Linked DNA regions of Oryctolagus cuniculus. The protein of the gene in region 1 interacts with the protein of each later gene in a biochemical or structural test. Links are inferred from orthologs where the notes say so. Each region holds a gene or a part of one and is shown in the gene's direction. Other genes may lie near its edges.

Evidence for each region.
Region 2: the proteins of RNH1 (region 1) and ANG are reported together in a solved structure, tested with the Homo sapiens proteins (3 studies listed by BioGRID and IntAct, with this or other methods). The link is inferred for Oryctolagus cuniculus from reciprocal best matches to the Homo sapiens genes RNH1 and ANG.

Annotation. Positions count from the first base shown.
Region 1 is NC_091432.1:186,321-190,061, reverse strand, and holds the start of RNH1 (ribonuclease inhibitor), read left to right. Parts: upstream 1-1,400; 5' UTR 1,401-1,557; intron 1,558-1,817; exon of another isoform or gene 1,818-3,741. UniProt on the Homo sapiens protein: Ribonuclease inhibitor which inhibits RNASE1, RNASE2 and angiogenin (ANG). May play a role in redox homeostasis. Required to inhibit the cytotoxic tRNA ribonuclease activity of ANG in the cytoplasm in absence of stress.
Region 2 is NC_091443.1:54,100,367-54,104,107, reverse strand, and holds the start of ANG (angiogenin), read left to right. Parts: upstream 1-1,292; 5' UTR 1,293-1,425; intron 1,426-3,741. UniProt on the Homo sapiens protein: Secreted ribonuclease that can either promote or restrict cell proliferation of target cells, depending on the context. Endocytosed in target cells via its receptor PLXNB2 and translocates to the cytoplasm or nucleus.

The DNA of each region.
Region 1 (3,741 bases):
CCTGGGCCCCCGCACCCACGCGGGAGACCTGGAGGAGGCTCCTGGCTGCAGCCTGGCCCAGCCCTGCTGTTGGGCCATCTAGGGAGTGAACCAGTGGATGGAAGACTTTCAATCTCTCTCTGCCTAAGAGGATTGCACCTTCTGGTGAGGACACCACAGGACAGCTGGTGTTCCCGTGCCCAGCGCCGGCCCCACCGCATCCCAGGGGCAGGGATTGGAACTCAAGACCTGGGGGATCCGGGCACTGTGTGCCCGCCCCCTCCTGGCAGCAGCCCCTCAGTGCAAGCTCTGTGGGAGACACTGTGCCGTGCTGTTTGCTAGCTGAAATGTCACAGCATCGCTTTTGATTCCTGCCCCTGCCCCTGGACCTGTGCGTGGCCGAGTGCAGGTCACTGAGCAGGTGCGCCTGGGCAGGCGGGGGTGACCCACGTGGAGACCCCAGACCCAGAGCCTTCCTGGCTGGAAGCAGCTTTGTCGCGGGCTGGGGGTGCAGTGGGGACTGCCCAGGAAGCTTCAGAAACTGTGGCTGAGCACCAGGGGCCAGAGCCCCCAGAGGGGCTCACAAGGTCACGGCCTCGCCCCCCGGAGCAAGGGAAGGGGGCTGCCGGGGCCTGGCTTCCCCTGGGAGACGGAGGCGGGTGTGCCCTGGCCTTCCTGGGGTTCACACAGCAGCCGGTTACCCATCTGTGACCGGGAGAGTGACCCGGCGCGCGGCCTGTCCATGACCGAAAGCTGTCTGGGGGCTTCCGGTTCCCCAGCTTGCACTGCTCTGGGCAGTGAGGCAGCTGCACCCCCACAGCCACCCCAGCCACTGCCCCTTCGTGCGTCCTGAAGGCACCACACGACGCCCCTTGAACAGCAGGAAGCCGAGCGTGGGCCCTGCTGCCTCAAGGCCAAGAAACGGGGGACAGAGACAGAGCCCGGCAGGGACAGGAAGGACCCAGCCTCCGGCTGTCGCTGAGTGAGGGAGTGACCGCTGCCCGCAGGAAACCCTGTTGGTCAGTTTGGTCCTGAGGGGTCCATTAGGAAAGTGCAGGTCAGGGCGGACAGCAGCCACCACTTACAGGAACCCCAGGCCGAGGGACCCCACCCGGCCGGGTCACCCGCCAATCAAAGCTAGCCAGAGCACCTCTGAGCGACCCGGAGCGTGCACAGGGATAGAGGCACCTCTGGGCGGCGCGTCCGTCTCCAGGGACCCTCACCCCGCATCCGCACTCCTGGCCACGGGGAAGCGGACCCAGACCCAGGGCCCCGCAGCAGCTCCGCCGGCTGGTCGGGGTCTCTGTAACCGCGTCGCAGCCAGGTCACCCCCCTGCCTCCGCTCCAGCAGAAGCCGGTGCTCAGGGCGCTGCCCAAGCGACCCTAGCCCCTCGCCTCCTGTCTCCGTCGGAGGCACGGTGCCCGCGACCCGGCCCCGCGCACCACGCGCCCGGCCCGGCCCCGCCCCTCGAGCCGGCCCCGCCCGGCCAGGCCGGCCCCGCGCAGCTGGAGCCCTCGCCGAAGCCGACCGTCCCGCCGTCGGTGTCCCGCGCAGCGACAGCCCGCGGTCGTCTCCAGGTCAGGCTCTCGCGCGCCGCGTGCGCCCGCGGCCAGGCGGACGGCCGTCCGGCCGGGGTGGGCCGGTCCGCTGCGGCGCGGCCTAGGACGGGCCTCCCGCGGATGTGGGCGCGCGCCGGGCTGCACTGCGGCCCGGGCTGCCCGGGCGAGACGCGCGCTCCCGAGCCGGGGCCGGTGGGGGGCCGGTGCGGGGTCGGGGGTCCGCGGGCCTTGCCGGGGCGGGGTGGGGCTGGGGATCCCCGGGCGGCGGCACCGCCCGGCGGAGGTTGGGCGCGCCCCGATGACGTCACCGCGCCGAGCGCGTCCGGCGCGCAGCAGACTGGGAGTCCGCTTCTCGGGGCTGGGCTGTCCCCACCCGGCCTGCTGCCCCGAGTTGCGTAACTCGTGCCCTCGTTCCTGCGAGCGGCCGCCCCGAGGAGGCCGCCCCGTGGAGTCGTGGAGGCCCGGGCGCGCCCTCGGGGGTCCCTGGGCCTCGGAGCCGCAGGGGCGCTGGCGGGGCCGGGACGTTTTTGGGGCTCACGCGGCCGCCGAAGCCCCGTGGTACGGGGCTGCTCTCACCGTAGGCGCCGCAGGCAATGTCGGAGCGCCTGGGGGTCCGAAAGGCGGGTCACGGCGGTGCCATAACCCGGCTGCTGGGGGCTACACGGCTGGGGTGGGGTCCTGTGGCCCTCGAGCTTAACGCAGGCGTCCGCAGGGCTGGGGGCGCCCGGGGCACCTGCCTTCTCCCCTCTCCCCGCGGCGGGCGGCTGGAGCGACCCTGCTGACCGCCCAGGGCAGCCTCCTGCCCCACGCCACAGCCTGCGCCTGGCCACGCTGCCGAAGCCCGTTGGGCTGGCGTGGAGGTGACAGGTGCCTGTCACGCCTACTTTAATTGATTTGAAAGGCAGAGCTGGGGGGGAGGGAGGAAATCTCCCCAAATGGTCACAATGGCTGGCTGGGCGTGGGCCAGGCTGAAGCCAGGAGCTTCTTCCAGGTCTCCATGTGGGTGCAGGGGCCCAAGGACTTGGGCCTTCTTCCAGTGCCGTCCCAGGCCATTCATTAGCCGGGCACTGCTTCGGAAGTGGAGGAGCCGGGACTCGAACCGGTGCCCACATGGGTGCCGGTGTGGCGCCGGGCCCTGGTCTCTCTCCCTGGGCTGACTGCAGGGTGTGCCTGTCCCAGAAGGCGGGCACGGAAGCACTTCCGGCCACTGCTGCAGGCGGTGGAAGTCGGGGATCAGTGCACCCACAGCCCCTGGTCCTCACCCCGGCCCTTGTCCCTGCCCCGCTCTGGCGTGGCACCAGGCACACCCAGAGCCTGCCCTCGCGAGCCCTTGGGGGTGGTCTGTGCCTGCCAGTCACCTGGGCTCCGACTTGGGGCCCTGGCCCTGCCAGCGGGGGCGACAGGCATGCTGAGCGACCACCCCGCCTTGAGTAACTTCTCACCCTGTGACCCCCAAGAGCTGACCCCAGTCCACAGCCCAGCTGCAGGCTCCCAGGTCGGCCCACACTGCTGGCCCTGGGCACCACAGCGATAAGGCCAGGTCTGCCAAGTGGTGTCCGTGACCCTGGACTCGGGGCCACCTGCTGGCTCTCAGCTTCCCTCTGCCTGCCTGGGAGCCCCACCAGGCCCCCTCTGACCCCTTAAACTTCACCAGTGAGGGCGCAGTCTCTGCGCAGTGAGCCGTGGAATCGAGGGACATGGTGGCACTCCCTGCTCCTTTTAAAATGTGACTTATCTGACAGTGACAGAGGCAGGGTCTTCCACCCGGCGCTTCACTCCCCAGAGGGGCCGGCCAGCTCTGTCCCGGTCTCCCGCACTGGTGGCTGGGCCAGTCTGGAGCAGCACCTGCGGCCTCCCCAGGGCGAGAGCCGGCAGGTGATGGGGCAGGCCAAGCTGCCAGGGGTCCACGCTGGCTTCCCCAGTGCGCGGGGCGGGTGAGTCGTGATGGTTTAACCGTGTTCCTGGGTGGACATGAGGTTGTGTCCGGGGCTGTAACCCGTCAGGAGGCCCGCGCTGGGTTCTCTCCGTGTGGCCACCGTTCCAGGCCTGGCCGCAAAGCGCGAGTCTGGGCCCCCCCCCGGGGGGGGGGTCCGTACCCGCCCGCCTGCGGGGGGCAGCAGAGGGAGCGGGGACCCAGGACTTCCGGAAGCTGGTGGTCTCCGGCTGCCTGCGCCTGGAGCTGAGGTTGGAGGGGGCCTGGAT
Region 2 (3,741 bases), on another chromosome or scaffold:
CATACAGCTCGGAGTACCTCAGTTTCGTGTCCACCCCTGGGGAGAGTGTGCAGTGGGTTCTTCTGGCCATTTCGAGAGGTTCTGAGCTTCTTTACGGAACCCGTGGTTTTCTTTTTGGCTTCTAGTTGATCCAAGGCTGCTGCCTCAAGCTTAAAAGTCAGAGAGCAAAGTCTCTCAATTGGAACTGAACCGTGAGTGGGTGCGGCCTGTGGCCTGCGGGACCCTGATGTGCAGAACACCCCCATCCCCCACCCCGTGTCCCTCGGCCCCAGTGACTGCCCGGCCCTGCACGCGCACACACATCCATCCAGGAAGCGGCGCTTTTAGCTTTTGTAGGCAACTATACATAGAGAGTGAGATTTGACGCGAATTGGGATGAAACTGCGAGAGCCTGGGTTCTGGAGGGAAGAAACAATTTGATGCAACGATGCGGAGAGAAAAACGGAATCCTGTTCCGGGCACCTGCGAGGGGCCCACAGTATCCGAACAGGCCCCAACCTGCTCACCTCCAACCTGTTTGCGCACCCCGAGCGGGCTCCGGCTCCCGGCAGCCTCGCCCGTCGTAGTAGGCGGGCACGGACACGTCCCGCGCGTCCCTCCTGGGGTCGGGACCCCACGGCCGTTCCACGGAGCTCCACACGTGTCTCCACGCGCCCCAGCGGGGTCCGCGGAGCTCAGCCGCGGCCTGAGAGCGGAGAGGCTGCCCCGCCTCAGCGCACCCTGCCTCTGGAGGGGTCTGGCGCGAGGGGGGAGAAGAAGCCAGGGCACTCGGTAAAACGGCAAGAATGGAAAAGGAAAAGTTACCGCTGGAGTAGCCTGGCGGCCAATAACTGTGCCGAAAAGCGCAATTCAGTCGAGAAAAAGCGCGTGTTTTTCGCCGTGGCTCGTTGGTCTAGGGGTATGATTCTCGCTTTGGGTGCGAGAGGTCCCGGGTTCAAATCCCGGACGAGCCCTTCAGGCATTCTTTTAACTTTAAAAAATTTTTCCCTCTCTTTGGCCATTGCTTGGAAAAAGTTAAGTTCGCTACAGTTCTCATGTTCCGATTGTCCCGCAGAAAGTAGCATTGACCAGCGCTGGGACGGAACCGGCTGGGTTTCGGGCGCCGCCCGCCAGCGCTAAGGGAAACAGGGACCACTTCCAGCCCCTGTATCCCCCGGTGGCTGGGTCAGGAGCGCGCAGCCCCGGGCTCGTCCCAGGCCTGGGCGGGGATCCGCCCGCTGCTGTGGGGCGGGGGCTCGCGACGCGGATCCAGGCGGGAGGGGCCTCCAGAGGAAAGCTGGGCGCGGTCCCGAAGACCGAGGCTCGCCCGCGCATCCTCCGCCCTCCCCGAACCCCACCCGGGTCGGTGTCCGCGAGCGCCCCGACGCCACGCACACACACAGCAGGACTGCGGCGCCCCATCGTCGTGCAAGGGAGCAAGCAGAGGTGAGAAACACACTTTCCTTTGCCCTGTCCGGCGCGCTTCTGCCGCCCTGTCCCGAGGCCTGGGTTCCCGCTGCTGCTGCTCCTTCGTGGTGGCCTGGCCGGGGGCGCCGGGGGAGCCCCTTCCTCGCACGAGGGGCGGTGTGTGGCCCTAGGGGAGCGGCTGAGGGGCCGGTGTGGAGGAGCCCACGGACGGGGAGGGAGGAAAAGTTGCGTCCTTGCTCGCGTTCGCGATTCTGCGTTCCCGCCTCGTTGTTCCGGTTGTGCAGCCAGGCGGAGATGCCGGTGTGGATACCCAGAGGGAGCCCACGGAATTGGCCAACCCAAGGGTGGCCTGCACTTGCTCAAAACTAAGGAAACCTTCGGTACCAGGTCGATCGCCAGAATTGTGAAGCAGGGCTTTTGTCCAGGTTTTTGTTTTTGTAGTTGGCAAGCGTCGCTGACATCTGGGAACTGGTGTTTTCGTTTTCTCGTGGTTCCCCGCCCTTAACCCATCCTCTCAGCCAGTGTTGCGAAATTCCTGGAGACACTGGCCAACTTTCTCCTCTCCGAGCCTAATTGGAATCCCCTGGTTATTTGCTCTGAAACGGAACATGAACCGCAACAGCGCTTGGATAAAACAAGGCATCTTTATTTAGGAGGGACTGTAAAACCAATGTCAGCACCATCCTGGGGGCTGGCGAGATCTCAGTGAGCCGTATCCCCCCTCCGTGACAGCACGAAACCTGTGGTCAAGCCATAGCAGTATTCACTAGCAACCCAAGCGAGCGGCCCACCTTATAGAAGCAGCCTCAGCTATTCAGATGAGAACTAGCGGGTAGGCAACCTCTGGTATCCAAAGACCACTTACCTGCTCAGCTGCTAACTCGTCAGTGCAGAAGTATAATTTGGTCACAGATACTTTAATTCAAGCAACTCTCTTAAGGATAGAAAGGGGAGCAACATATTTTTGGAACTTACGGAAATATTTAGTGTGGGTTTCCTTTCACCACTGACTTTCAGGGGCACCTGAAAAAAGTTTTGCTTTTCTAGAAATTACCAAAAAAAAAAAAAAGAATAAAAAGTTGTGTGGTGCATTGGAAACCTTATAGTCCCAGGAATGGGATGGTGTCAGAGATTTGTTATGTAACTCTTACATAAAAGAAGCTAAAAGCAAGTAGGCTTGCTGAATTGTCGTTGGAAGCATTTGCCAATGGGACTGAAGTTAACGTAGATGGACCAAAAAGTGGACCATTGCAGACCTTTGAAACTGTTCTTTAGGAGTTTTCACTTAATCTGTATTTCAGCAAATTGCAATCTCTGTAAACAGAATGCCTTAAAACACTTGGTAAGGGAATGTACACAAAACACAGAGTTTGTTGAAAGGTGAATGTTTAATTTTTGTCTTTGGAAATAGAGTTGTGTCAGGAGGACTCTGTTCACATTCTCACTCAGTCAATAGTGTCCTCACTTCCTGGAGGTGTGACCCTTCTTTTCATGGGAGCTTTTCCTCCTTTAACCATTACTTTTGTCACTGGATAAGTTTCATGCTTATAGACCTAAAAATATTCACATTATAAAGGACTTTAAAGGTGATCTGGTCCGTACCTTCCTTCATCAAATTTTATAATTAGTCCTCGGACAGAAATATTGCATGTATACTCTGTCTGAAGGGGGACTATATTTTCCCTAGACTCCTTGGAAGTAGAGTCCCCTGCCTTCTATGTCCATGTGCAGGAACACTCCTGGCTTGAGGGAGAGACATAGGAAAAAAATCTAGGAAAAGGGAAATGACTTTCAAGTTCAAGTTGTCAGAGCAGTTGAAAAACAGGAGTTTTTTTTTTTTTTTAACTTGGCAGTTGTTTTACATGTACTAAAATTGTGGACAAAGATATAATGTTCACTAGTCACGCATTATAGGTCCTTGTGTTTTGAAGCACTGTAAGTGTGTAGATGCATCTTAATGAAATAGGAAATCTTTTTTTTTTTCCAAAGCCCTATTTTCTATTTCAACATAACTTCCTTGTGCCAAGTTTGAAAAGAAGAACAAGAAACTGGCTTTTGCATTGTTTACTCTGTGGACAGGTTTTGATCCCCCAGAAGTTGTCAGTTGATGACCCAGAGAGAGAGAAGGGACTCCCTGTTCGGAAGCTGAAGGCTACTTCCCAGCACTGGTGGGTAACTCCACTGTCAGAGGTTTGCTCTAGTGCCTGAATTGATGCTTCTGGTCATCAGAACACTCTCTCTCTCTCTCTCTCTCTCTCTCTCTCTCTGTGTGTGTGTGTGTGTGTGTGTGTGTGTGTTTTCACTGGGGACTAGGGAGGCAGTAGGAGTGTTGCA